2 linked regions of the Drosophila melanogaster genome follow. The protein of the gene in region 2 interacts with the protein of the main gene of each other region in a pairwise test. Each region holds a gene or a part of one and is shown on either strand. Other genes may lie near its edges. The genes, in order: CG15059 and CG13733.

The links.
Region 1: the proteins of CG13733 (region 2) and CG15059 interact in a two-hybrid assay, tested with the Drosophila melanogaster proteins (2 studies listed by BioGRID).

What each region holds. Positions count from the first base shown.
Region 1 is NC_004354.4:18,251,113-18,267,290, forward strand, and holds CG15059 (uncharacterized protein), read right to left. Parts: upstream 8,406-16,178; 5' UTR 8,337-8,405; coding exon 8,055-8,336; intron 7,992-8,054; coding exon 7,830-7,991; 3' UTR 7,439-7,829; downstream 1-7,438.
Region 2 is NT_037436.4:17,476,732-17,492,856, forward strand, and holds CG13733 (uncharacterized protein), read right to left. Parts: upstream 2,196-16,125; 5' UTR 2,076-2,195; coding exon 1,218-2,075; 3' UTR 1,064-1,217; downstream 1-1,063. Other genes in the region: qjt (quijote), read left to right, coding at 2,631-3,332; CG6333 (uncharacterized protein), read right to left, coding at 3,514-4,134.

The sequences.
Region 1 (16,178 bases), on a different chromosome or scaffold from region 2:
TTGGATTGGTTTGAAAATATTTCCGTAAACAAAAGTTGCAGATGAGTCAGGGTTTCCCACATTGCCGAAAATCTTTGCGTGGGTATCATATTGAAAGCTTATCGATTCTAACAAGTCTGAATCTTATCACATGCATGATATGTGTGTTAATTAATTCTTTATAATTGAAAATATAATTTGAAAATTATATAGATTAGATAAACAGATAAGTCAAATAATTAGCAAAGCATTAATATTAGACAAAGGACTTAGTATGAAGATTATACGTATTATTTTATTATTACTATCTATGTGCACCAAAATGAGTATTTCAAATTAATTTTCCAGCTGAATAACGAGAATTTGCCAGTCGGAGTGTCTAAGTGTCTGGCTTATCGTTTCTACTGGTTTTCTCCTTATTTTTTTTATGCTGCTGCAGTGACTGCAATTGCAACTGCAACACTGCCACTGGCGTAGCTGCAACATCGGGAGCAGCTTCTTGTTGTTAATTTGATGTGGCACATGTAATAAGGCTAATGAGGTGGGCCACTGCAACTCGATCAGGGCTTCGACTTCGACCCAGCCCTAGATAGAGGCTACCACACACCCCATGCCTCCATGCCCCCATGCCGCCATGCCACACACGCCCCATGCCACTCCAGTTTGAGGCAGCCTGATCAACTTGTTGTGGCTTTGGTGGCATGCAATGACCACCATCAAAGCCGCACTGAGATCACGTCGTCGCTGTGTTCTGTTGTCCAAGTTGTGTGTGTTGCATGCGCTGCCTGTGTTTTGTTCTCCGCAAAGTGGACAAACGGACGGACATTCGGACGGAGAAACGGACAGACGGACATTTGTAAGTAGCCAAGTGCAAATGTATCGATTTACAGCGCAAACAACTCGCCCAGCAAATGGAGCATCTGAAACGGGAACGGGAACAGTCAACCATCCCAATGGATCGAATGGAGTAGCATCTGCCAGGAGGAGGAGCACGAGGAGGGGGGGGGAGGGGGGACCCCAGGCGGTTGACAAGATGCCAATGCAGCAAATGCGCTTACAATGTTGAAGAATCCATGTCTGGGAAGACGACTGCATACTGAACACTGGTCACTGGTCACTGGACACTGAGCCACTGAACCCAGCCGACAATTAAACAAAATTTGATACAGCCAACTGAACTGTGAGGGGAACGGGATGGGGGTTTTCAGGGTTTTCAGGGTTCCAGGGGTTCGGTTCGGGGTATTAGTTGCATTTTATTTCGAGGTTTTTGAACTGCTGCCGCCAATGTTGCAGCTCTGGAAAAAAGACGAGTCGAGTGTCCGCGCATAATTGCCAAGGGGTTTCCACCTTCGTGTTTTCTTTTCTGTTTACTTACAATGTTTTTTTTTTTTGTTTTTTTTGCTGGCCCACGCGAAAGGAGATTAGGAGGAGTGAAGGGTCACCACCTGCCCTAGACCTGGTCATTTAGCAATCAATCAATTAGTCAACGGACTGCCTGGCTAACTTATCTCTCCGCTGATCACCACGATTATGATGATGATGACGATGATGATTCAGATGTTTCCATTGGCGTCAATCAATAAGCGGCTAATTAAAATGAATCCTAGTTCCCAATCCGAGTTGGCTAACTGCAGCCAGACGAAGCCGCTTCCGGAGATTGAGGGGGACTGGCGATGGGGCTTCTTGGTGCTTGGGACTTGGAGCTTGGCACTAGGGTAGCAGACCATGGCCAATTATAACCATGGCAAAGCGAGGCGTTGTGCCAAAAATAAACGCGGCGCACTCATCGTTTCCTAATAACCCAATTAAAGACCGTGCGAACGACCTACGCAATGAACTTGGCCCCAGGTGAGACATGCGTCATGCGTAGATGACGCCACAGAGTTAGAGAGTGGAGTTATATTTGGCTGGCAACATGGCGAAAAAAAAAGATACGAAAAAAAGAGCTTAGCTTTCAAACACGCGCCGCTTCTTTCATGACGTCACAAGCTGCGAAACATCTTGACCCACAAAGCGTATGGGTGGAAAAAAAACGGGTAGTACGACCAGATATTTGAGGGCTAAAAATAAAAACCAGTATTGGCTGGAAAATAATCAATAGCCCCTAATGAACGCGGAAAATCATAGCTCGTCAAGATCACCGGATCGTGTTGGTTAATCCCTCCTAACCAATGGTTGACTATTTTTAGAGCGTGCCTATAGCACATAGTTTCACAATATTACCTATCGAATGGCGCTGGAAAATCCTAACCTAAGTCAAGTTGGAATAAGTTAATGCAAAAACCACCAGCTATTCCGTTCCGTTCAATTCAGTTGCATTCAATTCATGGCAATTGGCAACCAGGCCTACTTGTTTACAGCCCAACCCCCTATCCACACACCACACACCGTTCCCATCGCCACCCGCAAGCACCACTACAATAGAATTTCACAATGTGCAATCACTATCTTCGAAAACCCCCCAAGATCACCCACACTTAGGTTTCTTGAAATCGCGCCAGCTGACGTAGCCGGCTGAAAACATGAGCTGTCTCATGTCTCTCGCGGAATTGTGGGGTAAACATCGATCGGCGACCTTTGTATATCACAGCTGTTGGGGCAAAAAAACAAGGGAAGGGGGGGTGTTGCTGTTTGTGTAGTGGAGGGGCAGCTCCAATGACGTCAAGGCACGCGACTCGCATTTGTTAATTGGAAGCCCGCCGCCAGGTGAGATGCCAACTCAGCGAGCGCAGCAAATCGAAGCCCCCGCAAAAAGCGCCGAACGAAATCGGAAAATCAGAGTGCGCCGTGTGTGTCGCTAAGCGGGGCAACCACCTGATGAGTCAGCCGCACCGCAGCACCACCAGCTCGGTGGTTACGAGCATATTGGTATTGATACAGTGGTAATTTGTATCGGTGGTTATCACGGGAGACACGACTATAATACGGCTGGCTACACGGCAAGAAACAGGGACGGGCTGCCAGTGCGGCAATCGCAATCTAATCGAAACACACTTCGCGTGCGAAATTGTTTGGTAGGAATGATGATCATGGGACCAAATGATTATCGGCAATAAAGCAATTTCATTTTGCACAGCGACCACGTTTATTAGCTGGTTAAATATGTATCATGAAATACAATTTAATGTATTGAAAATGCTCTTATTAAAATGATCTTATTAATAAGGTTTTGTTTTTGGCACAATCTGGGTAGAGAACTTTGTGCCCTTTGAATACAAAAATTGAAAGTGAAATGAGCTATACTTTATAATTAAACTGCTGTTAAAAGTTCATCGTGTAAAACTGCAACAAAAGTTGCTGCAATTATATCATACCAGACCCACCCAACATAATCGTATCTTCGTATTTAATCCTTATTTTCTTAATGCTATTACGTTTAATCCAACAAAGATTTCCTGATCTTAGCCGGAGAACTTCTGGTGTGAACTTATACTTTATAATATCTATTTATATCGTTTATAACATACTGACATACTTGCATGTTGAATGAGTGCAAGCTGGTCTTATCTTATCGCCTTACTTTTCTCGCTGTGCAGCGGACACAAATGCGCCACCTGTTGCTGATGCAACAAGGTCGTCCGGTGTTATCATCGCTGCTCGTCTTATCGCAGCAACACGCCCCCGTAACGGAGGCTCGTCCTATTCCCATTCCCATTCCCATTCCTATTCCCAATCCCCTTTTCATCCACATTGCTTAATTAACTTATTTGACATTTCATTTACTCCCAGGCGCAATAAGTTTAATTGGGCAACACGACAATCAATTGCAAATGCCAAGTGCCAAGTGCCGAGTGCCGAGTACCACTGCCAGGTCATAAATCGACGCAATCCGCATTCAATCTATTTAATTGTCGCCGCTGACGCACGGTCACAGGTAGGCCATAGCCGGTGATAAGTGGATGCGTCAATCTGGAATCTGGAGCGGATGGGGCACTTCCGAGCTAGCCCCTGGTAACGGTAACGCAACCTTAGGCTACGCCAACTGGCCAAACATCCAGCCATCCGAACATCCAATCATCCGACCAAGGCTAAGGTCAAGAACACTAACAAATTGGTTCCTGATAACGGGAGCACTCGAAGTTTTAATCGCTGGACATGAATGGATGGCTACCAAATTTGGATGTGCCGACATCATGCCCCTAAAAATGGTTAACCTAACGGCAATTTCGAAATGGAAAGCAATCGAAATGGCGACACGTATCTGTATCTCGACTAGGGCATTTCATGCCCACGGCAAACGCATTCCAAACTCTTTCATACCATTCCATTCCATTTGTATTTTTGTGTTTTTTTTTTGTTTTTTGGCATTTCGCGGCCTGATGAAATATAAACGGGGTAACAAGAAGTGAGAACAGAAGAGCGGTCATAAATAAGCGCTTTGATCGAAATCGGATTTTTGGCAAATACTGCGCTCTGCTTTTAATTTGTATGCATAAATAATAATTATGAGTGTTTCCCGGAATCATTTGCAAAAGGGTTGCAGTATTGGATCATCATCGATCGATGGATCGATCGATCGATTTGCTAAACTAGGGTTCTGGGAATGCATGTGGGCGTCATCGAGCTGACTCAGTATGAGCTATTCTGGTGCTCCTGGCTTCCCAGGAGCAAGCCATTCCCCGAGTCCGGAGTAGATAAGCGCCTTTGAAGTACGAATACAAAAAGATACAAATGATATCGGGCGCATTTCATTTCAAATCCAATACAGCTGCTCAACTGGAAGCCGCCTTATTGAATCTAATCATCTAAAAATGATATGAAATTATGTTATAAATATTTTATGACCCCCAGCAGCAGCAACAATAACAACAATAACAACAATGGATGGGGCCAATCAAGCGACAACAACAGCAGCAACCACATAAATATCACGTATTTTAACGCTGTTTTCGGATCGTTTTCTCATTCTTTTCTGTATTTTTTTGTATCTTTTTTTTGGTGTTCGTTTGTGGCGGCTTTTGCTGTTAATCATTTTGTGGTCTCCACCATTGTTGTTGCCGTTGTTGTTGTTGTTGCTGTTGTTGTTGCCGGTATCGTCGAGTTAATCTTGTTAAAACAAACCGTTTCAATAAATACAGCGATAATGCAATTTTAATGCCATTAAGATGAGCACCAATTATGGCCAGCACCAGAGAATCAACTATGGCCAGCTGCCCCTTGTGCTCCCCGCGATCCTTTTGGGCCCGTTTCATTTCATCTTTGGCCGCAGAATCATTTGCGAATCCTTAAAGCGGCGACGGCAAAAGTTTTACATCCCAACCCACATGATTATCGAGCGATACCCTAACTTCTTGAAGGGTATAACCCATGGAGATCTTTAGTTTGAGCCTTTAAAGCTTACAATCTTTTAAATGGTAAATTCAATAATATTTTATCAAATTTATATCACTAATATTTCTTTATAGTTATAATATAACAATTTATATATAGAATTGTTTTCTGTGCATCAAATATACATATCTGACACAATATCAAAGTATATCATTTTCAATTGTGTAATTACTATTTATTTTTTTTAATTAACTTATTCACAACTTTATTTATAAAAATTCAGAATAGGTGGTAAAACTATTTAACTAGAAGGTATTTATATTAAAAACTTGAATGGTAACAATACAATTCGGAGACCTTGTGGCAGGACATTCAGCAGTCGGCGCGTCAGCTGGAACGCTCTTCCTCCTGACTTCGCCCCATCCTGCTCCATCTCCGGACTGGCTTGATGAGGGGTTTCGGGGATTTGGGGAAACGTGGTTGGAGTGGAGCACGGGCGGATCGGGGCTGAGGTCTGGGGAGGGGGCTTGGGGGATCGCCTGGGATCGCTGCCATATCCATCTCTGGTGCGTCTTGTGCGCAGGCCGCGCTTAATCCGCTGGCCGAGTTTGACAGACTCCGCGAGGGGGCGGTGGGGCAGCGGATTGTTTTTTATTGTTTATTTAACATTTCTGCGCTTTTATTTCGCGCTGTCCGCGCTCCATCGCCCCGCCACCGCTCCCTCTCCGCTCACTTCTCCGCCAGTGTTTGTCCATCGAACGGATCGCCGGTCTCGCTTTGTTGTTGCTGTTCCTTGCATTTTCATTGTTCTTTATGATGCTCATTTAAAATTCAAGCTTTGTTTCATTAAGAAACACGTTCGTCCCAGTCCCAGTCGCAGGCCCCAGTTCCCAGTTGCCCCGATCTCCTGCTCCCCTCCTGGAATCACTTCTCCTTCCCATCCGCATACTCATTCTCCTCCTCCTCCTCCTCCTCCTCCTCCACCTCCAGTTCACCGATCTTGGCCATTCCTGGGCCAGCGCCAATTTCGACATTAACGCCGCCGACGGCGCTACGCAGCTTGTTAACGTTTTTTAATGCCCCGATTCAAAGGTTAACAATCAGACTGCGACTGCGACTGCGGCTGGGAATGGGAATGGTACTGCGAATGGATATGGGTATGGGCATCGGCATGGGTATGGGATGTGGAGCGGATGACGGCGGAGGCCATTGATAAGCCGGCGCTCATTAAAGATGCCAGGAATTTTCACAGCTCTCCGGCGAAACAAGGCCCCCGGCCCTCCTTCGCTCATTCCGTGCTAATCCCGCGAGCGTGTCAAAGGGCCCTCGACTCCTGCCCTCGTCCTCAATCTCAACATCATCCTCATGCCACAAAATGTGCGATCCTTACAGCTGCATCCTTGCCATTCTCTCTTTCTTTTTTTTTTTCGATCCCCTGGCAGCTGAAACACTTTGGAGGTCGAACGAAAATGATTTGTACAATTTTGTAGTACATAATTGATTTCGTTGAGTGGACGAGATTGGAATCAACAACTAGGGATTCGGATTGGGATCGGGATCGGGATCGAGGGCGTTTACCACCAACCACCAACGCTGGTGGTCAAAGTTCGAGTGGATCTGGAGCAGGGCACCTGTTATAACTGGCCATAACTACTACGATCACCCAATCTGCGCCAGTCTAATAGCTCAATTCGCAGTCCCATAAAAGCCAAAAGGCCAGGCCAGGCCAGAACAGACGACCAGCTTTGGATATCCATCCGTCCATCCATCCATCTTGGACACTTGGACTCTCAGGGCGAGTCGTAAAAATAAAAGTCATTGACTCAATTTTGGAAATGCCTCACACACGACGAAAGCGAACATAAGCCGCACTCCACCGCCGAAATAAAAAAGGGGCAGAAGGCAGAAGGGGGGCGTGCCAGCAGGCGCTTGTGATTATCCTTTCGCACGTTCGGCGTTGCTTAACAAATCATAAATATGGCCCGGGCTCTGTTATTGATGGTGGTCGCTGGACGCAAAGGGAAAAAACCACAGCGCTCAAAAGAGTGGGCAACAACAACAGCAACGGGGGGAGCAAAAAAAAAAAAAAGATCAAGAAACGAGAACCAGGTTTCCACCTTTTTTATGGGGGCCCCCAGCTTGAGTCCAACTGGACGACCAAGAGCAAGAGCAAGTCCAAGTCGAAGTTCCAGCACCACCTCGCCCCACCAAAGGCTTCAATCATTTAATAAGCGCTGCCTGCCAGGTTGTTGCTTGTTTGGGCCACGACAAAAGAAGCCTTCCGCCATGTTATTAACTTATTCATAACAATAACGAGAGCAGCACGGATACTGAACGACGGACGGGGCAACACCTCCTCCTCTTCCTCCTGGTAGTCCACATCCTCCTGCTGCCCCTTCAGTTGTGTGGGATATAAATTCAGTCGTTTCTGGGCTATTTCCACAGAGACATCTCAAAGAGAACCCTACCAAGCCTTGCACTGATCTATCTATACATATCGTAGATCTCTGCCAGGCTTGGTAGTGTATCTCTACAGGATATCATGCCTAACTACTTTGACTGATCTTGGAGCAGGATCCTTACGGCTCAGGACGAGACAGGCTAGCGCTGAAGATGAGACTCTGCCTTCTTTCTGGCGATGGCAGTGGAGTTGGAGCAGGCATTGGTCCCGACTGCTTTCTGGGTGTGGAGTTTTCAACTTGGAGGATTTGGCAAAAGGTCCGGGTCACGACGAGATTGTTCTGTGGGGGAGATAGCTCATTCAGCGGTCGTCCAGTCAGTTGGATTGCAGTACTGCTACTCACCTTTCGGGATTGCGGGGACAGATTTATCTTGGACCTACCCAGCAGACGACCCATTTCACAACCCATTCTGCCCAACGGACTGATCCTAGCATCTGCATTTGCCTGCTCCTCCTCGGTTTGACGCCGCTGATGGAGCAGCCACTGCGTCCTGGGATCCTTCAAGAACTCATCGTTGTGGATGAGCCGGTCCAGCTCGGCAATGCCGCGACACAATCGCCGATGGTGGCTCAAACAGCGAGCCAATCCCGCGTTCACCCTGCTGATTACTGACGAATTTGGCATTCTATTGCAACGAGATGGGGAATGTGTTGTCTTAAAAAAAAAAAAAAAAATCACAATAGTTGTGGGGCTCGCAAGGGCTCTTTTCAAACGTTCTCAGCACGGCCTCCCTGATTGGATGGGGGATTGGGGTTGGCTTATGATGGAGCTCCAGCATATTTGAGCTGTGAGTGTGCCGAGTATTATGTCAGTTCATCAATCAAACGCACCGTCGCCACAATGTCGATGATGAGTTATGATCTGCACAGAAAGCGCTCTCAAGAAAGAAACAGGACAAGTCGGCGATATGTGTGCATGATGTAGGGTTGATCTGCTGGGCAGAAGGGTTCATTACGCTGATTGCTGTGGCAGTAATAAAATCTTATTGTCTTAATAATTCGAGTGCTTAAATTTCGAACACAATGCCGGTAAACGGATTTGAGATGCTCGAGAGAACAGGACTCTGGGATGCCCTAATTGCTGGCACTCAACGGGGAGAAATGCGTGTGTGTGCTAAAGTCACGACTTATCATCAGACAATAAAAGGGAAGCCAAGTGAGCGACACTTGATCTTTCCTCTATTCCTAGACCCTTATACCCATTTCCCATTCCCATATTCCAGTGCCTATCACCTACCTATGTGTGTGTACTCGTACTCGTCTATCTGGGCTGGCCCATCTCTGCTTAGCTGCGTTTTGGCCGCAATTTATCACACGCCACTTGTAGCCGGTTTTTTGATCTAATAAAAACTGTCAAAACGTTTGCAGGATGCTGGGAAAATATTTACACGGCACACAAAGTGCCAGAAAGAGAGCGTGCGAATGCGAGTGCGAGTGCGAGGTTAGCGTGAGGGAGAGGTAGAGAGGCTGAAAGGGATGGGCCCGGCCCGAAACAGTTAGCAGCGAACAAAGGGCCCAAAAGGATCAGAGATCGAAGATCAGGACATTGGGCGAGCAACGCAGCAGCAGGTCAAGACTTGGGCGGTATGACACATCAGGAATCAGCCTCAAAGATTTAGACATTAAAGGACCCACACAGCTGATTGTCCCGATCCTGATCCATGGTGTTTCTACGCTTCGGCTGTCTATTGAAAAGATGAAAGTGAATTTCCCTTTTTGGGCAGCAGCAGCAGGAAAATGCTCTAAGAAAAGAATGCCATCCAGTCGGTCAATTGAAATGAAATGAAGTGAAATGAAATGAGCGGGGAGCGTTGAGCGTTGAACGCTGAACGCTGAAGAGTTCTGGGCGGCCCCTGCACGTTTAGCTATTTTTATGGAGTTCCCGGGAATTGTCGCTGGCTCCGTCTACATGGTCGACACCGACTGCTCCTCGTTCTGTCGAATCTCGGAACGTTTCTATTAACACGGCCCCGGGGCATTGTTGGGCCGCTCTCGGGATCCGTTTCTACTTTGCCGCCAGTGGGAAAAGTCGACTCGTCTCGACGGCGATTGAAACTGAAACTGTCAACGCGCCGACGCCAAGTGGAGAAAAATGTCACCAGCGTTGCGTAGTTGAGTGTGGTAGTAGTGAGACGTCATTTCGGCGAGCATTTCCTGTCCAGTCACCAGTGGAACTCCCCCATCTCCGTCAGCATCAGATTCTCCCTCCCATTCGCGCACATTGCTCAATGTCAGGGGTTGCACAAGCGAAGAAGAGACGCGTTGACCTTGCCGCCGGTTTAGTAGCCGCCAAAGGGGAGCTTAGCCAAAAAATAAGAGGGAAAAGATACAATGAAAACGCCAAAAGGTCTTTGGGGCCTTGCGAAACGTGGCGATCGTAAAAAACGGTTAAGCACTTGATTTATGGGGTGTTATAAGGTGTTAGACCTGCCCAGGTACGACTAAGATACAAAGACAAATGCAGATACCGATACAGATGCTGCCACATCAAATGCCAGATGAGAGTGCACAGGCATCTTGAAAGCCGCCCGATCGATCTACTGTTTAATGTGTAACAACAAAGAAAAGAGTTTAAAAGACCATAAGATCCATAAGGAAATTTTCAAATTAAATTTCAAAACCCTTTGAAGTCTGCGAGCGCTCTAGTCCTCTTTATATATATAACTATATACCACAAATACTTGCTTGAAGAGACTTCTGGATGCAATAATTTGAGTAACTCTTATCTTCCTTCGACTTTTGCCTATGAGGGGGGGTCTAGCTATGAAATGATCCCCCTGGCATTGCATAGTTCTAGGCTTGGCGGGGCTAATTTTCAAGGGAAGCGTGTCCGATCGCCACGGGCCTTCTTATCGCCACCCAGTCACGTCGCCGTAATCGGTTGATAAGCGCAATCAGCGCCTAAGAGGCGGCAAGGGTTCGCATCGCGGGACTCGGTGTCGGAATCGGAATCGGATTCCGTTTCAGTTCAGGTTCGCTCGAATTAGATATAATTAGGTGCGAGTGCAGGCAGGCGCGGCAATCGGAAATCAACAACAGCAGCAGCAGCAGCGGCAGTGGCAGTGGCAGGAGCAACAATAACCACAATGATGATGGCCACAAGAGGAAGTTAATCCGTGGCCATAATCGCAGCATAGCGCCACAGCATGAGGCAACCTCGGAGTGCCACTTCCTCGCCCCCTTGTCCACACGCCCTCGTCCACCGCCAGAAGAGGGGCTCCATTGAAGTGTCAGCAGTGCCACACATCGCTGGGTTCCCCTCTGTGCGTCGGCGAGGGTGTCTCCGATGGTAATCTCGGCCTGCTCTACTCCACGCTACACTGCAGATGCACACGGGTCCACTGGCCATGTGGGGTATGTTAAAGCAAAACTTTAAATCATTATCTTCTGAATGTAAAAACTGAAAATGAGCTTGTTTGCTTATCAGCTATATTCAATATCAATTTTATCAAAGTTGGAATATGGCTCCATCTTGGGTGCTAAATCTAAATTTTAACCCTAGTGCACTTAAACCTTGAAATACCTTACTAAAATATATATTTTTCTATATATATTTATATTTATTTGACCCTTCTAAAAATCCAACTAAATATTTAAAAGTCAGGGCATTTGCAGTGCGATCTCAGCTGCAACCGACGATGGCCAACTCTTGCAGACAATGCCAATATAAATATTGTGTAGCACTTTAACATTTAACAATACAACGGCAGCAGCAACAATAACATGCGATAGCTGCAACAACAACTGCTCAGAGCCATAATAAACAAACAATTACGGTTTCATTTTGTTGCAGTTGCAGCCCGGCAGTGGAAGTTGCTGCCTGGCCCTGGTATTGCAGCAGTTGCAAGTCTCCATATTGGCTAGCAGTGCCACTTGGGCCTGCCCCGCCCCCGAATGCCCCACCAGGGGGCACTGCTCCGCAGATTGTTGCAGCAACAGCAACAGCAGCAGCAGCAGCAGCAGCAGCAGCAACAGCAGTTCTTGTGGCATTTTGTGCGACTCACACAGCAGGGAGTCAAAAATTTCGCACAAAGGCTCGAAAAAGCCACCGATAAGAGAGTTGCAACAATGGCACTGCAACTGCAACAGCAATAACTTTGGCCAATCATGGGAAGCAAATCGTTGTTGCCTAGCAAAGGACGAAGCTCCAACTGCAACTCACTCTCACTCCTTGGGGCTCGGTGCGGATTTTTTTCAGCTCGCCAGTTGTCTAAGGCGAACTAATTGCGGGCGGCACTGATTACTCATACGCCCCCATGCCGCACATACAAAATGTACCGCAGCCACTTCCACGCTGTCCAACTGAGATGCCGAACAATGACGGGCGGCAGTAACACGCGAGGAACATGGGACAAACAAGACAAGAGGCCGCAAATATTTGTTAAACTTGACACCAAACAAAAGAATTTTACCGAAAGGATTTGAATGAACCGAAAAAGCGAACAATGTAAGCGCTGCGGCACCGCTGGAATGCGACAGAGCTGCGTTCGGTGGTGCGGTGGTTCAGTGGTGCGTGGATGCGAGGAAGCGAGGATGTGCGGATGCGAGGGTGGAGCGGCTGGGGACTCAACAGGATGGAACAGGACGGCGAGGCAGCAAATCAAACACAACAAATCGCCAGGCAAACAACACCGAAATCAAATTGTACAGCCAGGCAGGCCAAGTTTAAAGGCACAGTGGGGCAAGTAGTAGCGTTTCATCTGTAAGCATTAGATAGAAGTAAATAATATATGTTATTTTGACACAGGGTATTCAGCGCTTTACTCTGGGAATATGGAAAGGTGTATAAACTAGGTAAGTTACTGATACAAATATTACAATATAACACCTTTAGCTTTAATAACAAAATCTTATTGCTGATATAAATAAATTTAAAAGGATTAGTCTGCGATTAAATGTATGTTACCTTATTCACAACACTTTAGGTCTTAAGTACAATAAGTTCAGTTTGAATCCTGATTTATCCCTATGGAATGCTTGCCATTAAACTGATGATTATTCAACTACGTGACCAAGGCATTTCAACCAAATTTTCAACCACTGTGCCTGGGGAGTCGCCTCTTGGGTTTTTTGGGTCTCCGGTCCCTCCAAGTGCTGACGCGCGCCGATCCTGGGCCGCCGCGTCGCTCGAAAGGAGTTCGGATCTCTAGATGGGATGGGTTTGGGTTGGGATGGGATGGTGCCTAAACCTAACGCAGTTATCAAAAGCGTTGAATTATGGCCGCGTTTGGGCTGCCAGCTAAATGAGCAACACGTTGCTGCTGCTGGTGGCTCGTTTTCGTGGCGCTATCGCATTTGATCTCTCGTTTGCCGGTCCCTGGGATCGACAGGCCGACCCGCAGGCTCTGGTTTTTGGGTTAGGGACAAAGATAGGGATAGGGATAGGGATCGGATGGTTGGATGGCTGGCTGGCTTGCTGTGGCTGGGTAGATCCAGGGTCAGAAGAGGGAGAGGGAATCGGATTCAGCTAACAATGCCCATGATATCATTCATTTCTCATTTCGGTTTCATTCATTGAGCGCTGGCCAAGTGTCGCCGAAGGTTCAGTCTAATTTCATAATAAGAAACATCTTCAGGCACACAATAAACGAGCGCGCACTTCGTGTGTATTTCTTTCTTGTTCTCTGGTGTGTTTTTTTTTTTTTTATTTTATTTTATTTCATTTTTTTTTTATGGCCAACTGTGGCGGTGGAATGCCGCTGGAATGTCGGACGTTTCCGGTTGGCCCAGAACACAGAACTCCGAACGTAGAGCTGCAGAGGCTTAGAACCCTACGGAGGGTCAAAGTGCCATGGATGATGAGTCAGTGGATCTCTCTCAGTGTGTCTAGCAATTCGTATGGCCTCAAAGCTTAGAGACGCAACCCTTCCTAATTACTGTCTACCCGGATTCATTTCATTCATCGCGGACCTTATAGATCAAAGTTGTCCAAATATATACCCCCCAACTCCAGCGCGCCAACCCTGCCGATTTGAATAAAGGGGCTACGGAATGATGAGGCGGCGTCTGTTCACACGAGCAGGCTGACGACGGTTGATGGCCCTGGCAACCGGCAACCGGCAACTGGCAACGGATGGGAGCACAGCCACATCCACATCCCAAGTGGAGCCGACCGATCCCAGACGACTCCTCCGTGTTGCTCAATGTGTTGAAACATGAATGAATCTTGTTCACAATTTGGCAACAACACGTTTAGCACGAAACGAAGGACGACAATGGCCCAAATGCAGGGGAGCCCCTGATCCCGATCATTCGGCTATTCGGTTTCGGTTTCGTATCCATTGTGAGGCGGTCCTGTCCTCGAGTAACGTGGTGGGGTGCGAGGTTTGGCATAGGGAACCGGGACTCTGGACTCGGGACCCGGCTTTCCTGTTCGGCGGCGTCGCGAACACAAATTATTAGCAGCCCGTCTTCTTAACCAGTCACCGGTTGCCGGTTGCCGTTCGCTGGTTAGTAAAACATCATGTCGCTGTTAAGGGTACCAGGCACTGGGTCAGTATGAAGGAGCAGCACGAGGAGCTGGCAGAGCTGGATGGGCAGGAGATGGAGGGGTCGAAAAGCGGAGCAGCCTCTGTGGTCCAATTTGGAGTCGTCTTCGCTACCATTGTTGTTGCCTCTGCCGGCGGCCAAGAGTCGCAGTCCGGAGCTGGAGCTAGAAAATTATCTGCTTATCTTGTCTTGTGCTCGTTTCGATCGGCTGCTTATTCATGTTCTCGTGTCCGAGTTGGGCATCCCATACACTACCTCGACCATCGGGCATAGCCGACGGGGCAAGCGGCAGGTCTATAAGGTCTGGAGGTCAGGTGGGGCAGGTGGGGCAGGTGGGGCAGGTGGAATACCCTCCCAGTATGTATTTACCATACTGTTTGGTATGGGTATGTTTTTTTTTTTAGATTTTATATCTTACAGGGAGAGGTTTAAATTACACAGAAATATATTAATTTGAAAATATTCAAAACAAAAGTAGCTTAACTGTTTAAATAATAGTATATTTAGGAAAAAATGTTATACTTTTGTACTTAAAATTAGTTAAATTATTCCATATCAAACGAAACTATCATGTCAGTATTTCTTAAATTGAAATATTCAACCAAGGAATGTGAATACATTTAATAATAAATCTATATATCATTGATTATTTTGATAAGCTACAGCTGGAGACTTCGTGGCATAAAATATTAAATTAAGTTAGTTGAAAATTTCAGCAATTCCTTTTTATGTTTTTTATTAAACCTATCAATGTAAGCTAGCAGAAGTAACTCAAATTAAGACCACGAAGTTTGTTTTAATCCAAACTGATAATCATAGGGCGTTTGCTGGTGGCATAGAGCTGAGCAAATCTGTAGCTCAAAACCATTTAATATCATTTGCCAACAATTTAATAAAAGTTCTGCCAGGCATCAAGGTATCTCCTAGTCGAAAAAGCGCACTGCCCATCGCTTTTACTTGTTGTGTATTTAATTTATGTGCTCGACGTGACACTTGCCAAGGGCCCCTGGCATTGGCGATGGTGGTTCTTGGCTGGTATGAGTATGCATATTATAGCATATAGCATATCGGCATTGGCTGGTTAGTGTGGTAAGTGTGGTAAGTGGTAAGTGGTAAGCGGTCAGCGGTAAGTGTTGAGTGGTAAGAGCGAACGGTTTGGGGGGGACGGGCAGCCTAATATGCGACAGCCGCCGCCTGTTAACACATCGGTGAACCTCAAAATATGAAAACCGAAACCGACACCACCGCTGCCGCTGCCGCTGCCGCGGAAGAAACCGAAACCGCAGTGAAGCGAGCCCCGTCTTGGGTTCTGGGCTCAGGTTCTGGGACTCTGGAATCATGGACCCCACGCCGCTTGGCCCTGCTCCTCCTCCTGCCCCGTTTGGCTCCTTGTGCTCCTTTTGCTGAGCCCCTAACGAGGTGTCCAGGCGATGACGACGACAATAACGATGACGATGGCGATATTCGAGCCACTGCCTCTGTGGTTCGATGGTTCGGATGTTCGATGGTTCGGTGGTGCTCGGTGGTTCGCGGTGGTTCGCGGTTCTGCTGCCGAGTGAGAGTGAGACAAGCTGATCCTGGCTGACCGGCCGGCTGGCTGAGTTGGTGATTGAATTTCACACGTGGCTTAGTGTCCGCCCGCATTAAGCACGCTCCGACGAGCCGCAGACAGAGCGAGACGGCTGGAGCAGGGAGCAGGGCGCGAAAGAGAGGGCAAGTGAATTAAGAAAGAGATGCGGCTAGAGGCTGTGGGACGGAGATGCAGATAGTGCGACCGGCTGTTATGCAAATGCGACCGCCGTGGGGAGACGGAGACATCGCCATCTTGGCAGGCCGATGGCTGATCTCTCGCCATCTTGGTCGCCGTCACTGCAGCACTGCACCACCACCTCCATCAGCACCGCCACCTTCTGCTCCTGCTCCTGCTCCTCCCTTCGGAGATCCTGATCCGCTGAGCCATTGTTCTGTGGCTCCTGCG
Region 2 (16,125 bases):
TTTTCGAAGGCCGGGTGAACTGGTTTGACTGCCCCCGAGACTTCCACGGATCGTGCAAAAAAAAAGAAGAAAAAAATAGAGCCCAGAATTTGTTAATTTCATCATCAGGCGACTGTGATTCTTGGCAAGCTGTCTTGCGATAAGATAGGTTATTCGAATACTCGAAGTAAGTCCTACTTGGAACAGGCATTCTCATCCAAAAACTGTTGAACTTTTGCCCCAATTGCCGGAGTAGAAGCCATATCCAATCACACTCAATTGCTATCCACAAACGATTCCAATTGACCGGCGATTGATTGCCCAATGTCTGCACGCACTTCCTGGTGCAGCATTAGAATTCAATAGACGCCCGACTTCAGCTGGCTCCATTCTGCAATCCCGTACTGACTCATTGCCCGGCACTTTCAGAATTTATGCAATACTGCGGTACGTGCTCTTATGCTAAAATATTGCATTAGAACACCCAGCGAACGTGACTTGATTGCAGGGCTAGAAATAGCAGCACTACCTTTAAGCCCTCGGATAAGCCACTGAGACAAGTCTACCTATTCTTCTGATTAGTGTTGCTTATACGAACATGAAGGATCCCATAAATATTCTTAAACATCAACTGATAGTCCTGCAACTGTCTAATCCTTCATATAGCCTGAAAATCTACCTAACTTCACAGCTTACTAATATAAACAAAAAAGTTACATCTTTAGTAGTTTATTATTAGTTTATAATAATCAGAGAACATATGCATTTCTTAGAAATTTCCGTGAATAAATGACCATTATTACAAGCACAACTTACGCATTAAACAATAATAATTGATTGATTAATACATATTCATATGTATTAATTACATCATCGGATCATTCAAACTTTCCCAACAAATGCAGTTAAGCTATTGCTTACCACACAAAATAAATCAAAATAAAGCCATCCATTAAGCCGGATCATTAACCCGATTCCATACTGCTGAATGGATAATCCAGCAGCTTGTCAATGAACTTGTAAATCGGGAGTTCCAGGAACTCCGACGCCCGTCGAAAACGAAGTGCTGACTGAAGTTCCGTTTGGTTAGTTTAATCATTTACTGTTCATAAGAGATCTATATATGTATGTACATAACAATTTTTACAGAGATATTCGGTTACAGAAGAAATTTTGTAAAAAGCTTATCTAAAAACCATAAATTTGAATATCCATCAGATAATGGGTACGAAATCAGATCATCCCTCGACAGTTGACTGTTGCTGGTTACTTAACTTATTTTTCAGCGCAGAGGAGAGGCAGTCCAAGTTATGGGATCGAATTTTTGAAGACCTGGGATTCGCCTCAAAACTTGGTGGCTTATCAGAGCCCGCCGAGCTGGAATCTTCCTTATCGCCTTCGCCAAATTTCCGTTTCTTGCGATGCTTTATTTGATCACTCGGCTTGGGCATTGGTAGCTGTTCGGAAGGGATCGATCTGACATCAGCTTTATCGTCATGGTTGTTGTGAATCTTCTGATGGCGCGTTTTTTTAACTTTCTTCTTCTGGAGACTTGCCATGATACTTATCATTTCCTCCTGCTGGGCTTCGTACCTGGAGATGATGGCGTTCCGGCGCTCCAGCTTGGCGGTGAGGAAACCGACTTGGTTCTTGAGGCTGTCCACTTCCCCAGCCTGCTCGGCAATGGTCTTCATCTCGCGGCGCACCCGCTTCATCTCCTTTTCCACCAGTTCGGCATTCTGCCGGACTTCGGTCATACGTTGCTGGTACTTGTTACGTGTGAGATTGATCTGCTCCTCCAGGAAGGCAATGTACTTCTCCTGCTTAGCCACGTGCTCGTCAAGTTTCTCCAGCTGCTGGCTCAACACTGAACACTGCTCGGCTCCACCGCACTCCCGCTCATTCCGATTCGATTGAGCTGCGGCTAGTTCGCTCTGTAGAAGCTGGATCTCCTGTTCCATACGCGCCTGCAGAACCACCTGCTCCTGCCGATACTTACGATGTTGGTTGTGCTTGGAGCGCAGCGAGGACACCTCGCTCCGCAGGAGAACCACCTCGTTCTCCAATCGGGCTTTGGCTCGATCGTGGTATGGCATCGCGCTGGACGAATGAAATTTTGGTAGTCCAAAACACACGGCTTGTCTATTGGAAAATTGCTTCAAGATTGGGGTGTCTATTGGGATTTTGAAGGCATTCAGTGGGGAATCCGAGATCTGACATTTAAAAACTTAAATAAAACGTTGTTATGCAAGCATGCTCCGGTAATTGAAATTTTTTTTGATTACGCAATTCAATGGCAACCTTCGATATTTGTTCCCCTGTAAATAAGATCTGATTTGATATAAAAAAAAGGCATTTACTTTTTATTTCGACCAGATAAAAGTGCCCGTTTTACAAATCGAAAAATTCGAACGAAACGAAAACCGAAAAATCTGTGCTTTCGATTTAAGATCGATATCGTAAATTACGATAAATTCTCGATGATTCCAGTTTTTAAGCGATTACATTCCACGTGGCATTTGCTTAAAAACCTAATTTCAGGTAAATATCAACGTTATTTATAAATATAAGTCCATTCAAAGACCACTAATTAATAGGCTAGCCTAACTAACCATCAGTCTTGAACATTTGGCTTAAATATTCTGGATAAAATGGAATTCAATTACCTTGCTGATTCCGCACTTTCCACTTTAGTGGAAAACAAAAAGTTCTTCAAGGAAATGTCAGATTTCGTGTCCGATTTCAGCGATGGCGGGAAGATCAAGAAGTTGCTCGAGCAGAGCGTTGAGCAGAGCGTGGAGCACGCCGTGAATGTAGTCCATATGAAGATAAAGCACCAATCGCTCAACAAGGCTATGAATCAGGTCAAAAACTCTAGCGCCACCATCGAGGAGTTCGAGGAAGTCTGGAAGGAACGCTCCAAAGCGGTGGAGCAGAAGCGCATCAATGTCAAGAATCTACACGAGTTCAAGAACTTCGTAAAAGCAGTTGAATCAGCAGCTGGTCAGGCGGGTGCGGAAGTCAATGATCAAGCGAATGGCACCGCCTATGATGAGGACCTTATTATGGAAGACTCCGGCAGCGAGGTCTTCTCGTTCTACGATCCCTGGTCCAAGGCCCTGATAAAGAACCCCATGCGCAACAAAATGTGCGGTCACATCTACGACCGCGACTCGGTGATGCCGATCATAATGGACCGCATTGGCATCCGATGCCCGGTGCTCGGCTGCGCCAACTTGTGCTACATCCAGCCAGATCACCTGGTCCAGGACGCCAATGTCCAGCAAAAGATACAACAGAGCATGTCTAACGCGATCGTGGATGTAACTGCCTCGGAGGAGGACGAGGAATAGAACAGATAATGATTGTGCCCAACTCCGTCCTTGTTGAGAATTAACTTAGTAAAATAAAATAAATTCATTGTTGCCATTATTTTATTTTATAATAACTTGTACTTCTATTAATACACATATATGCTAATTTAAGCTGACCACAAAACCCAGTGAAACCACAATGTACACACAAGAATACGATTCACAACATATTCCTGTACCTACTTGTGTTTTCATTGGACTTCTTGGTCGAATGCGAAATTTTCTTGGAGTGAAGATACTGGATCAGCAATTGGTTGGCCGAAGATTGCGGCTTCACTTGGATGTCGCTCCTTTGCAGCTTCTCCACGGCACCGAGCATGTCCTGGCAGTGGTGGCCAATCCGCTTGGCCCGATCCCTTTCGACACTGGCCAGCACCTTTTGCAGATGCGACTCCAGCATGATGGCATTGTTCTTGATGGTGGACACCTGGCGCTCATAGTGCGCCTTTATTCTTTTCATCTCCCGCTGCTGCTTCTCGATGCGACGGGCCTGCATAAGGATTATGTCCGCCAGGTTTTGGCGATCGGTGTGATGCTGCTCTGCCTTACAATCCTGCTGCACCAGGACACCAAATTCTTCCTCGGAGATCGGACTTCCTATGCGCTTCAGGCTGGAACTCGTATTCCGACCGACAGTTTGTAGAGACTGCAATGGTTTCCTAGATGGCCTGGAGGACATCTTCTGAGTCTTTTGCCGCGTATCTAAAGTTCTTCGGGAATATGGCCTTTCATTCGGCAAACCAGGCAATCCATCGTTGCAAATCCTCACGCCCTTGGTCATTTTAAACAATAATTTAGCCACTCGTGAATTCGTTCTGACTCTTAATTTTATTCGAATTAGTTCAAATTTTGTCGATTAAGTGAGGGCAAACGTTGTTTCACCTCTAAAAATATTTAATGGTTAATTGAACTCTTAAGGCAATTCTGCGTAATAAATAAGCAACTGAACTGTTTACTTTTTTATGATATAAATGTTCGATTATGAATCATGCAACACTCAAATCTCTGCAAATATCCTCAAATTGGCGGAAAGTGAAAAAGTCGATCACTTTTACCCTTTTTTTTGTAACGATACTGACCAACTAATCTCAGTTATTTGAAAGTACTATAAAAACCACAAGCAAAATGACTGCAATTTGATAAACTCAGGTTCAAGGTGGGCTCATTTTTGGCAAGATCTGGTCAGAGTTTTCATGATTGTATGGGTTGAACCAGAGTTGAAAGTGCCACGCCCATCACTTGAGGCGACCAACCACACGCAAATAACCATATATGTATGTACATACATGTATGCATATGAATATTTAAGTAGGTACAACAAATTTGCACTTCTTGTATACTTATCTTAATATCTCTTAAGTAAATTTGGAAATAAGGAAAAATGTTTGAAGTTTCATACATTGCTGTCTTGGTTAGAGTATTCCAAAACCATTGATTTATGTTTTCTCTGCCTTTTGGTAAGCATAATTTGTATATTTTTGGCCGCGATGCCGCACACTTGATAAGGGTTATCGATATGCCCATGGATATATGCATGCATTATGTGCGACTGATCATTATTTGTTTTCTTCCCATAGCCTGTGCATCGCATTCGCAAGTTGTAAATTATTTGGCAGCAGGAAGCGGATTTCGTTTGGTTTTCGGGGTGTGGAAGATGGATGGATGGTGCTGGCCGGCGAAAAAAAAGACATTCTTAATATCCTGAATACTCATAAATTCAAAGTACCCCCTTGAGCCATAATTCAAGCAACTTCCTCGAATAATTCGATTCACAGTCCTTCAACACAATGCCAAGGTCTGGTCGTTTATGTCACCATCACTGCCTTCGGCTTTCTATGCTTCCAGTATATTTCTTAATATGACAAACTTCTTCCCACTTATGCAATTTCCATAAATTCAAGGTCAGCCATACAATAAAAGTCCAGACATCAGATACTATATACAACATACCCGGCACATGTGGACATTCGTCTGGCTACTTTTTCGGCAGCCAAAAGATTGAGGAAGAGTAATTTTTCGCCAGAGATGAGCGAAAACATCTGCGGATCAAATATATACATATATTTTAATAATAATAATTTTAAAATTTTTAATAAATAAAAATGATAAAAATAACTCACATTGATTACGTTTCTAATACAAAGAAATGAAATCTGATAAATCAAGAGCTTTAAATACCATAATGATGTTCATCCAAGAGATTCCAATGATACTTTGCCTAATAATTAAAGTCAAATCAAATTAAAAGTTAAAATCGTTTTGGCAGAAAACTGTTAGTAACGATAGATAGTAGTTGAAATGAGAGATTAATACAAATACATAAAATTGTTATCACTGATATAGTTAATGACAATAGTTAAAAGGCTATAAAAGGGTACAATGTAATTGTGGTACTTCAGATAACAAGGCCTTTGAAAATGTTGATTTTAATTAATTTTAATTTTTAATTTTAATTTAGCCATTGTATGTCTACTATACCAAACAAAACAAGAACTTAATTGGGTTTTTTGTAGTACGAAAAATTATGTGGAACCTTAAACATATAAATAAATTTTATACAACTATGTATAATATTATTTTACAAAAATAGCACAGCATTCTTGTGTAGTGAATCAGCAGGGATAATAAAAACAGTAAAAGATTAATAATGTATTAAATATAAATAATAATTATGAATAGGCAAGGAAACTCCATACTTGTAAATGTATAATTTAATTATTTATTTAATTTGGCTTGCATCAACCAGACTCGCTACTAACTGCCAGCTCTATAAATCCCGCATATAATATATACAAAATTCGGCTTTGAGAGCGACATTCCCTCACACCCCTCCGACCCCTTTGCACATGCCGAAAGATGATATCAAAATGCGAAATCAAAACAAAGACCCAGAATTTCGGCAGACTAACCCAAACAACATAAAAAAAAGGTCCAAACCCGACTAGCATCTAAGCCAAGCACAAAGGAACCACGCAGCAGACAGGGAGCAGACAGGCGAACCCCAAACCCAAACCAGAAGTCCAGGGCCTTTTTCTGTCTCGTTCTTTTTTATATATACTTTTTTTTATAAGCCCCTTAGAAGCGTAGACTTCGGCTAGACGAAATTTGAGATGTCTAAAGGACGAAGGAAAGGCAATCAGAACAGAAAAGAAGGAGGAGCTGTCAAGTGCCATCGTGGAAAAAAAATGGAGAAGCAGACGCAGAGCTTGCTGGATTCGTTCGATTTTGTTTCTATCAATTTCGGTTTAATTGCATTTAATTTGAATTGCAGACATCGAAATCAGGTTATATATTTCGTGTTCGGCTGTGCAGCTTGATTTAATTTGCCTGCTAGACGGCCAAAAATCGACGTAGATATTGCGCAATTTGCTCACCCCGAGAGCAACAATCAAATGCACTCGAAAAGTCAAATAAAAGTGAATTGATTTATGGGCTTTTTGTTTGTTTGCACTAAATATTCTTAGAAAAAATATGGTTACCCGCATAAATCAGAAATAATTACTTGAAAATACCCTCATTTGATAGTATATAATAAAAATAAAAACCGTAGAATCTGAAATTCTTGAAGTCTTGCATTTTATCGAAGATTTCAAATGAAAACTGCTGTTTTTGGCACAGTTTTTCCACCCTCTATTGTATCCTTGCCTCGATTAAGCACTTGCGCATAAATCTGCAGAGGAATCGCCAAAAAGCTGTAGCTTTAGACAAGAATCAAAACATATGAAATATGCAACAGGCCAGACACTTCGGTCGGAAATTTGCTTTGCAAATTCTGCTGGTTTTTGGCGACAAATTTCAATTTAACAATCGAGCACAGACATCCGTTCTGGGTGCAAATCGCAGATATATCTATATCGCAAGATACTGGGAGATACAAACGCGCACCAAGTCGGATGAAAGAACCCTATGCAACATAACTCAGCAAAGCAAACTCAGATTTCCGACAAGGGAACCCCCCAGCTCCTACTCGCTTCCAAAAATTTCTGACTTCGACTCTGAGTTATTAAAGAAACGCCATCGAGTGGGGGAAACAAACACAAAGTTTGTTATGTTGCGCAGGCGCAGCCCAGCAACGCCCTCAAATTCAGGGACTCAACATCGGTGGATCCATATGGGGATGCATATGGGGGAGAATCAGAAGGAGGCATCCGCACAATGTTATTGACCCGTCCCAACGGATCCGTTAGCCATCCTCCGCCCGAATGCCCCGCCCCGCCGCAAAAATTCTTATTAAGATCAATCAGCTAAATGTCGGTTTTATGCTTAATGCTCATGATTCACACGGGCAGAAGAGTCCAGGAATCGAAACTCCATGTGGCAGGAATTCGACTTTCAGCCCCTTAAAACACACCCACTGGTACTCTAATATGATGGTTGGAACTTTCAATTGCAAATTCACTATTTAAGAAATAATTAACAAATTATTGGCTAGACTATAAAAAGCATCTATTCACATTCATTTCGAATTTATTTCTAACTCTTTTAAACATACGTATTATCTTTAAATATTTACATTTCTTATAGCTTAAGAAATCTTGTTGTACTTATTCTGTTAGTTACTATTACCTACTAATTAATTCATATTTAAAGATTAATCTTTATGGTTAGTCTGACAAAAATCAAATGCATATTAAAATAGTATCCGAATAAAGATACTTTCAAGATAATTCTCATTTTCCACTTATCCCAAATGCTAAATTCAAATCTCACGTGTCAGCTAAGTTACCCTTCGCATCGATTCCAACTCCAAAAAAGCATGTCCCAACAACTTGTGTGCGAATATAAATAAAAATGTGCATTTTTGGCAGCCTTTACAAAGTTGTCGGCACGTTTTAATGCTGAGAATTTGAGCAGCTTTTTGCCTTCTTTTCATACTTTTTTGGTTACTTAATTAGTCATGGCAGGCACACTCGGGGAATGGGGCGACTCGGAGTGGCAGAGGCAAGTACCCTTATAACGAATGCAAACTGTATTCGATCGAGGAGTAGAATCGAGTGACTCCGTTCAGATCTTATACAATAGTTTTCCCACCCCCCGCATTTGCTTATCACCACTGACACACATTATAGGCCAGCTCCGACTTTTGATCCGTTCTATTCGCTTCAAACTCATCCAATTCATAAGCGTGCTTCCTGCTTTCAGTCAAGATTAAATAAGAACATTTCCCCATCCAATTCCCCTTTCAGTAGTAAAATATCAAGCTCATTAAAAATTAACAACAATTAGGGAAATCGCTTAAAGAAATAAGAATTAGTAAAAGTAATTGTATGGCAAGCTTTTGCTTTTTCTACTTTTTATTTTATTAGCAATAAAAATACCTAATATTTATAGGAATATATGTAATATACAAGTTCGTCATAAGGAAGCCCCACTGCACATACATACCACACCACATTGTGTGCAACACATATAAATGTGAATGTTTATTCCATCTGACAACGGTTAGCGATAAGCCCAGCGATGTAGTCAATACAACAAACAATAAGGAACACTTTTGGAGTTTCGTTGTCGACTTTGTCATTATTTGCTTGCCGTTTGTTTACAAGCTGAAACATTGACACACACACATCAGCTGCATCAGCTGCTCGTGCCCCATCCCACCCACCAACAAGCCCACTCAGAATGCGTAACCCCCTTCAATGTGGAAGCTCCAACACCCATGGGTTCATCTGCGGGTTATCAGCAGCGGATTGCAACTAGAATTGGTTACAAAAAAAGCGAGCCACCGAAAAGGGAAAACAACATTCATCCGGCGGCGGCGAGAAAAGCAACCGCAAAAGTTCAATGCACATTTCGAGGTGAATTTGTTTTTGAGCTCTCGCTCGTCTCGGCCTGCAATTAATTACACAAATCGAACGAGCGTGTTTAACTTGTTTTCGCGTCTAACATGTCACGTAATTAGCCGTCTAGCTGCGAATCGAGCCGATATCGATGGGAGTTTGCCAAAAGAGTAGCCAATAGATACGGCTGCGCCATCGCCTGCGTTGCACTCAATTTGCTTGATTATTGCGCACAGACTTTGCATGAGTACGCGTATCTGACAGTTTGCCTATCTATCTGGCCGCTTGGCAGACGACCTTGCGCCGAATATGCAATTGATACGTACTTTGCACATATGAATATTAATAGGCGACCAGAGAGTTACTCGAGGAATTTCGCAAACTGAATTCCATTAGCCTCCAAGACTGTAGACTATATTGTAAAGTCAGTTGCACCGACAGACAGCAGATGCATAACCTAAGAGATAACCCTTAATCGCAAAAATCACTTGGTAAACACACAAAGCAACTTATAGAAACTATTTAGCACGTTTTGCAAAAAGTATTCCTTTTTAGTACTTCGCTGGAACTAACTAAAATGTAACGAGCATTAATGTAACGAACATTAAACCACCAAAATTCCTCATCATAAACACTTTTCTTTGAAATGCAAAACTTTCAGGCTTTAAGCTGTTCCTCATGCCTTAGTGAAAATAATGTATAGCTCATAATAAGAAATTAATCAATCGAATCATAGACTTAGAATATCCATCACTTCTCTTCACTTTTTTATATTACCCACCCCACCCAGACGAAAAATCTTGGTTGAGTCATTTGCAGAAAATGTATTTTATTGTACATATGCAACAATAAATATTGTGTACTACATGTGATTCGTAAGTTAAAAAACACTAAGCCAAGCTAAGAGAAAGTCAAACTTGTCGAATTTCAATCAAAATAAAGGTCTTTCTATGAAAGAATTGGTACTTCTATCAAAACCACTTCAATTATTCCCTTATAAACGTAATGTATTCTAATATTCCGGTATGCTGAAAGTTTAACCCAGGTCGATCTGTCTGATCTCCAAAATCCCCTTTCCAATTTGATAAAAGAGCGCACGCCACTGATAACAAACAGAGAGAGCAGCCGAACTAACAGAGCCCTAACAGCGTGGGGGCCTAACAGAGCCCCAACAGCTCCAAACAGCTGCGCTGCCGACGTCGACGTCGGCGCAGGCGAAAAGTTTTGGCTGTTTTCAGTTCGCCAGACCGTTTTGCGTATTCGTATTCGAATTGTTACCGTGTGCGGACTGTGCCGACGGGCAGCGGAACTCAGGCGGTGCAACTGTATGTGTGCGGTGCGTGAGAGTGTGTGTGTGTGAGTGCGAGTGGGGGGCGAGAGAGATAATATGTACATTCGGTGTATATATACACATGTGTATACGTATTATTTCTATACGCCGCGATCAGACAACAACAACAACACCAACAACAATGTGGGTCGTGCATATTGAACATATGCAAATAAAACAAAAACAGATAAATGCCAAAAATCTACTACACTTTTATAACCAAAACACACAGAGCGCGCAGAGAGAGCGGCAATAACGATAACAGCGGAGACAGACCACCCCCACAGCGAAGAGAGAGCGTAAGAGAGTGACGGTTAGAAGTATCTTTGAGATACACTAACACAAAGAGAACGCGTATCTGTATCTGCATCTGTAAATGTATCTTCTGGTCTGTGTTTTTCGACTCCTCGTATAAATTGAGCCGCACTTTGGTTATTCTCGAGTTTTTGCTGCTCAGACGTCGCTGTAAGTGCACGCGTCGCTCGACTTTTCGGTTCCGCTCCGCTCCGAATCGGTTTCGTTTTCGGTTCCCAATACCTCCAATATTCCCTGAAAGATACCTGTGTCCAAGAACCCAGTTGAATCCACACATTTTCGTCGTGCAAGTCACAGAAAAAAATTATTAAATTTCTAAACGCTCAATACAAATATTTTCGCACACTATAAAAATATTAAAAAAAAAAAAACTGGTTGACAAATTTGTCTGATCAAAAACCTAAAGAAACTTGTACGAAAACGAATAAAACTAATAACATATTAAATAATCTCGTTTTTGAAGTTCATTAAAACCACACTTAATCAATAAATACATCATTGTTAAGATCCTCAGACCATTTTAACAAAAAATTAAAGTGCCAATTCCATTTTCAGTGAGTGCTTGATAAATTTGTTGTATTGAAACCCAACCGCAAATACAATTTTCAATTGGCTGAGTGCGTGTCTTCAACGCACAAACATACGAATATAGCATTTAATATTGTTCATTATGTGTGCAATTAAATAAAAAAAATTGTGTGTGAAATAACAGAAAAACGAGTGCGGCGAACAGAGGCAGCAACAAATTAAACGCGTAAATTGCGTAGCAAATTCTGAATGAAAAAATTCAACAAAACCAGAAAGCGAAACAGGAGCGATAAGCGTAAGTACAGCTTTAATAAATAAATTGTATATGTTCATAAAATGACAACTTTTTGTGACAACTTAAGAACTTAGAGTTGGATGGCAATTTAGGTTTGTCAATAATAGAGTATAAGAGTATAAGAGCTTTGCTTAAGTGAATATTACTTAGAACCCCAATTAACAATTACTTCAACTTGCATATATATAGAATTTGTTTATTTGAAAATGTGTATTTCCCAAAAACAATTTTTGTATAATGCATTTAAGTCTTGTGGCGAAATAAAATTTCAAAGAGAACGATCAGTGCCAAACAAACATGCAGAACCAGAAATAAGCTCAAAATTCATGGAATAACCTGATTTGGTTTCTTTTCATTTAATTGGGCTAAAGAAATTTCCCTTTTCAATGCTTGCCCACAAGAGAAATGGAAAGAACGAAGCATTCTCTGATTGATGTGGGGAAAACAAAAACAGAAACCCCGAAAAGATATTTCGAAACAAAATAGAGAGGGGCAGACGATGTCTAAGCATTTATCTTTTGGTTCTTCGACGCGGTTCTTGTTATTTTTCTGTTTTCGAAGGGGGGGACTATTCGGGCGCCAGAGAAAGTGAAACATGTAATTTTTTGTTGGAAGGCCTACAAAAATCATACGCCGTATTGAGTGAAATCGTAATGGGCTAAGAAATTTCTTAAATACGAAGGTTAAAAGGGGGCAGAGCAATCAGAAAGCGCACAATACACACTCGGAAATAATGATAAGACGCGCGACGGAGAAGAGACCGGCCAAAGAATACGAAACACACTCCATTTCTCTGTCTTTTCTGCCTGCTTTACTCGGTTCCCGGGTAATTACATACATGCCGTAAAACCAAAATAAATACGCACAGATAAAGATGCACAGATGCAGATACAGATACCGGGTTGGGATGGGTTGGGTTCGGATGGGCTTTTTTCCCGCATTCTTTTTGTGTCCTCGCAAAACGAAAGCCGAATATCGGCGAAATGCATTAAGGCCGAACAAAAGCAAAAACGAAAACAGTCAATAAACGCTGTTTAATCAAATGTAAATGTTTATACCGCACCGCAACTATCGACTCAGAATTACCGACTTTCAGAGCGTCAGAGTTTCACTTTTGTACCTCAATCATATGAGTGTTTGTTCTGGCCAGAAACCAGCAAGAAACACTCTTTTCCGTCTGACCCACATCGGGTTCGTTATCACCGATTTTTATTATCCATTTATATATATTTGCTTGATCGCATTGAATACGTACACATTTACAGAGCCGTTTATTTTTTGGATTTCAAAATTAAACACTTAAAACGACGTTAACACACAGCAGGAAACGCATCTGAAAGTGACAGAGAAATCACTTTATTCTTTCTCGAATTGAAGTTATTTTTTTCGCAGCAAAATTAAAAATTCATGAAGTTACATTATTTTGCTCAGGTTCATAGAGAAAGTCAAATGAGTGCTACAATTTGAAATAAATTAATTCACTTCATTGTGGCTTCTTCCATTTCATTTTTGACTTCTATGTTTGGTTTACCTAAAAAATATGTTTAATTAATAGGTTTGTATATAAAATATACTACAATAATACGTATATAGTGCAACAGCTAAACTTAAAGCTAATGATTGTGTAAACATTAGATTAACAGAAATTTTCATTTAAATGGTTAAAATACCCATTTATGGTGTTTCCCATAACCAAAGTTTCGGAGCTAACTTTGTCTACCTCGCCATTCCCATATTTTTCCATTGTTTCCTTTTAACTTCATCGCCTCCGCCGACCAATAAATGATCAATGGCCCAAAGCATTTCGATTTCAGCCAAACTCATTTAATTTGTTTTTTGATTCCGCTCTTTTTTTCGCCATGCGCCCCAAGTCCAGAAAAATAAAGAAAGATACAAACAAAAACTGGGAAAGAACTACAAAATTCACCTGTAATAACGTCGCAGAAAATGAAGAAATCGGTTGAGAAGCGGCAGACAAAAACACGAATCGAGTAGAAGTGAGAAGACGAGCTACAGATGGAGATGAGAAAAAAGTTGGGGAACTTGAGAGAACAGACCCGAAATCACAAACCAGATTTTCTACTAATTTAAATTCTTGGCATACAAAATATTCTAAAAAAAAAATATATAACAAAAATGAACAAAAGCGAAAAAAAGACAATAACAAAACAAAGTTTTCTGTATTGATTAACGAAACGAAGCGAAAATGGTTTTATTGTCCAAATATTGGCAGACAGTTTCACATAGATCGCACGTATATATCTATATACCACCTTATATTACACCCATTACATATCCATCCTTTAGAACTTCCGTTTCCTCGGAACTCTCTTCGCTTCTGATGGATTGACATTTGTTTTATCTGCCTGACGTTTAAAATAAATTTCTTGGCCAAGAGAGCGGGGTAAAAAACACATTTACTCATCGTTGACACAAAGGAAATTTTCAAGAAGTTTAGTCACTGTATATCGATTTTTACTGGCTCGATATTGCTGTATTCGTTTGCCAGAGCACGTGTAAAGTTGTACACAAAAATAAGTCTTATTCACAAGCCCAAGCTGATAATTTTATATGGTGCTGTATGTATTTGGCATTATGCTAATCAACTGGAGAAACAAATACGTACAGCCAAATCGTCATTAATTATGCATTTATTTTGAGCGTCTCAGGCCGCTGGCTGCGGCCACATTTGATATGAAAACCTCGATTCGCATTTCGAGAAACTGAAAGTTGGCCTAAAAACACAGTTAGGAATTGGCCCTGGCCATGCATTGTCGTTGAGCTGGGCTGGGGTCGTGTTTACCGCCTTAGTCAACTAACTTTAGTCGCCACTATCAGCCAGATGTTGGCCTTACATTATGAATAACTCAAACGGATTTAGCAGTAGTCCCAAAAGATACAGAAAATGCATGCAATGTATCTTGCTAATTTTCTCACTTTAAGAACTGAAATAAGGGATAGTACTCATCGTATGATTACAAGATTATTTCTAACGGAAGCATATTTGTGCAAATGCACAAACTAAGTAGGATGAACAACAGACAATGCTTAATAAAACACACTTCATCCAGAGCAGACATATGTATCTTTTCAAATGCTGAACTTGTCTTCGAAATCATGTGCTCGACACTCCCCAGACCACTCGAACAGCCCCGATTCCCCATGCCAATCACGAATATACATATGAGATGGATTCCCACATTCTCCAGCGACACGCCCTCTCTCTTTGGACGGACAAAAGCAGCCCCACTCGAGATGTATTTGTATATCGGGGACTGGATGCTGGAGCTGGATGGCAACCGTTTGCGAGCGATTAAGGAACCAGAAATCGCACTTGACTTGCTCGTAGCCCCAAAGCCGGGCTGACATACAAAAGAGCCATTGAAGAGCAGCCTAGAAGATGGCAAGCAGCCAGTGGAAGCGGCCAAGAGGAAGACGAATCACGATCATCAGCGGCAATTACCGCACTGTAACTACGCAGCATCCGCAACAACAACCACAATGTAAGCGCGATGCGTGCAGAGTCAAGCAAAAAGTAAAAGAGATTCACATAGATACACAAGAAGCGGGTCTCCAGTTGGAGCCCGTGCTCCTCCTTGCTCCACCCCGGGAATCCGGACTCCCTCCAACTGGAAGCTTGTTTGGCTGCTCGCTCCGACGCGTCTTTAGCAAGTGATTTCAATTTAATTGACAGTCCTTGAACTTGACTTAAACGCAACGCAACGCAACGCACAACACAACACAGCACAGCAACCATAATAATAAAAACACCACAAGCATCCCCATCTCTTCACTTCACTCTCGATTCGCCATTCTTCCAAGTATCCAAAGTTCCTCCTCTTTGCGGGGTCTTTCGATTTTAGATTTCATTAAATTGAAATTAATGGTTACGTTTTTGATGTTTTGCAGTTTAAGCACTTATAGATATTTATGATAATGCGCTTAGGTAACTGAATGGATAATCAAAATAATATTAAAGGTTTTACAGTCCAGACGATTTAAAAAGCTCTAAAAAGTATAATCAAAAGTATATATAAACATATATTTATGCAAAAGTAAAAAAACAGGTTCATATATGCCTAATTCAAAAACTACACAATTAATATTCAAAGAAATATTTGCTAATACATCGATAGAAAGTTATTTCATCGGGGGTTTCTTAAGATATAAGAAAAAATCCATTTGTGAGCATCAATTTACGTGCTGAACTCATAAATAAAACACTAATTTGTGTAGCCTAATTTTAGATATTCCGCAGATAAGCAAACTATTTTTAACCAAAGTTTTAATAATCTAATCAACTCTAAATGACATATATCTATTTATAGAATTATAAAACTGTTTATGTCCTTGAATATAAATGAATTTTGACGAATTCACCATGGAACTGGGTCGATTGCTTTCTTGAGAAATTTCTCAAATTGAATTCTTTAAATTTAAGAGGGACTCTGGAGTTCGCTGTGGCCAACTGATATTACCGCCCTTGTCCCTCTTCTCGCTCATTGTAATCTGCATTTTCCTCCT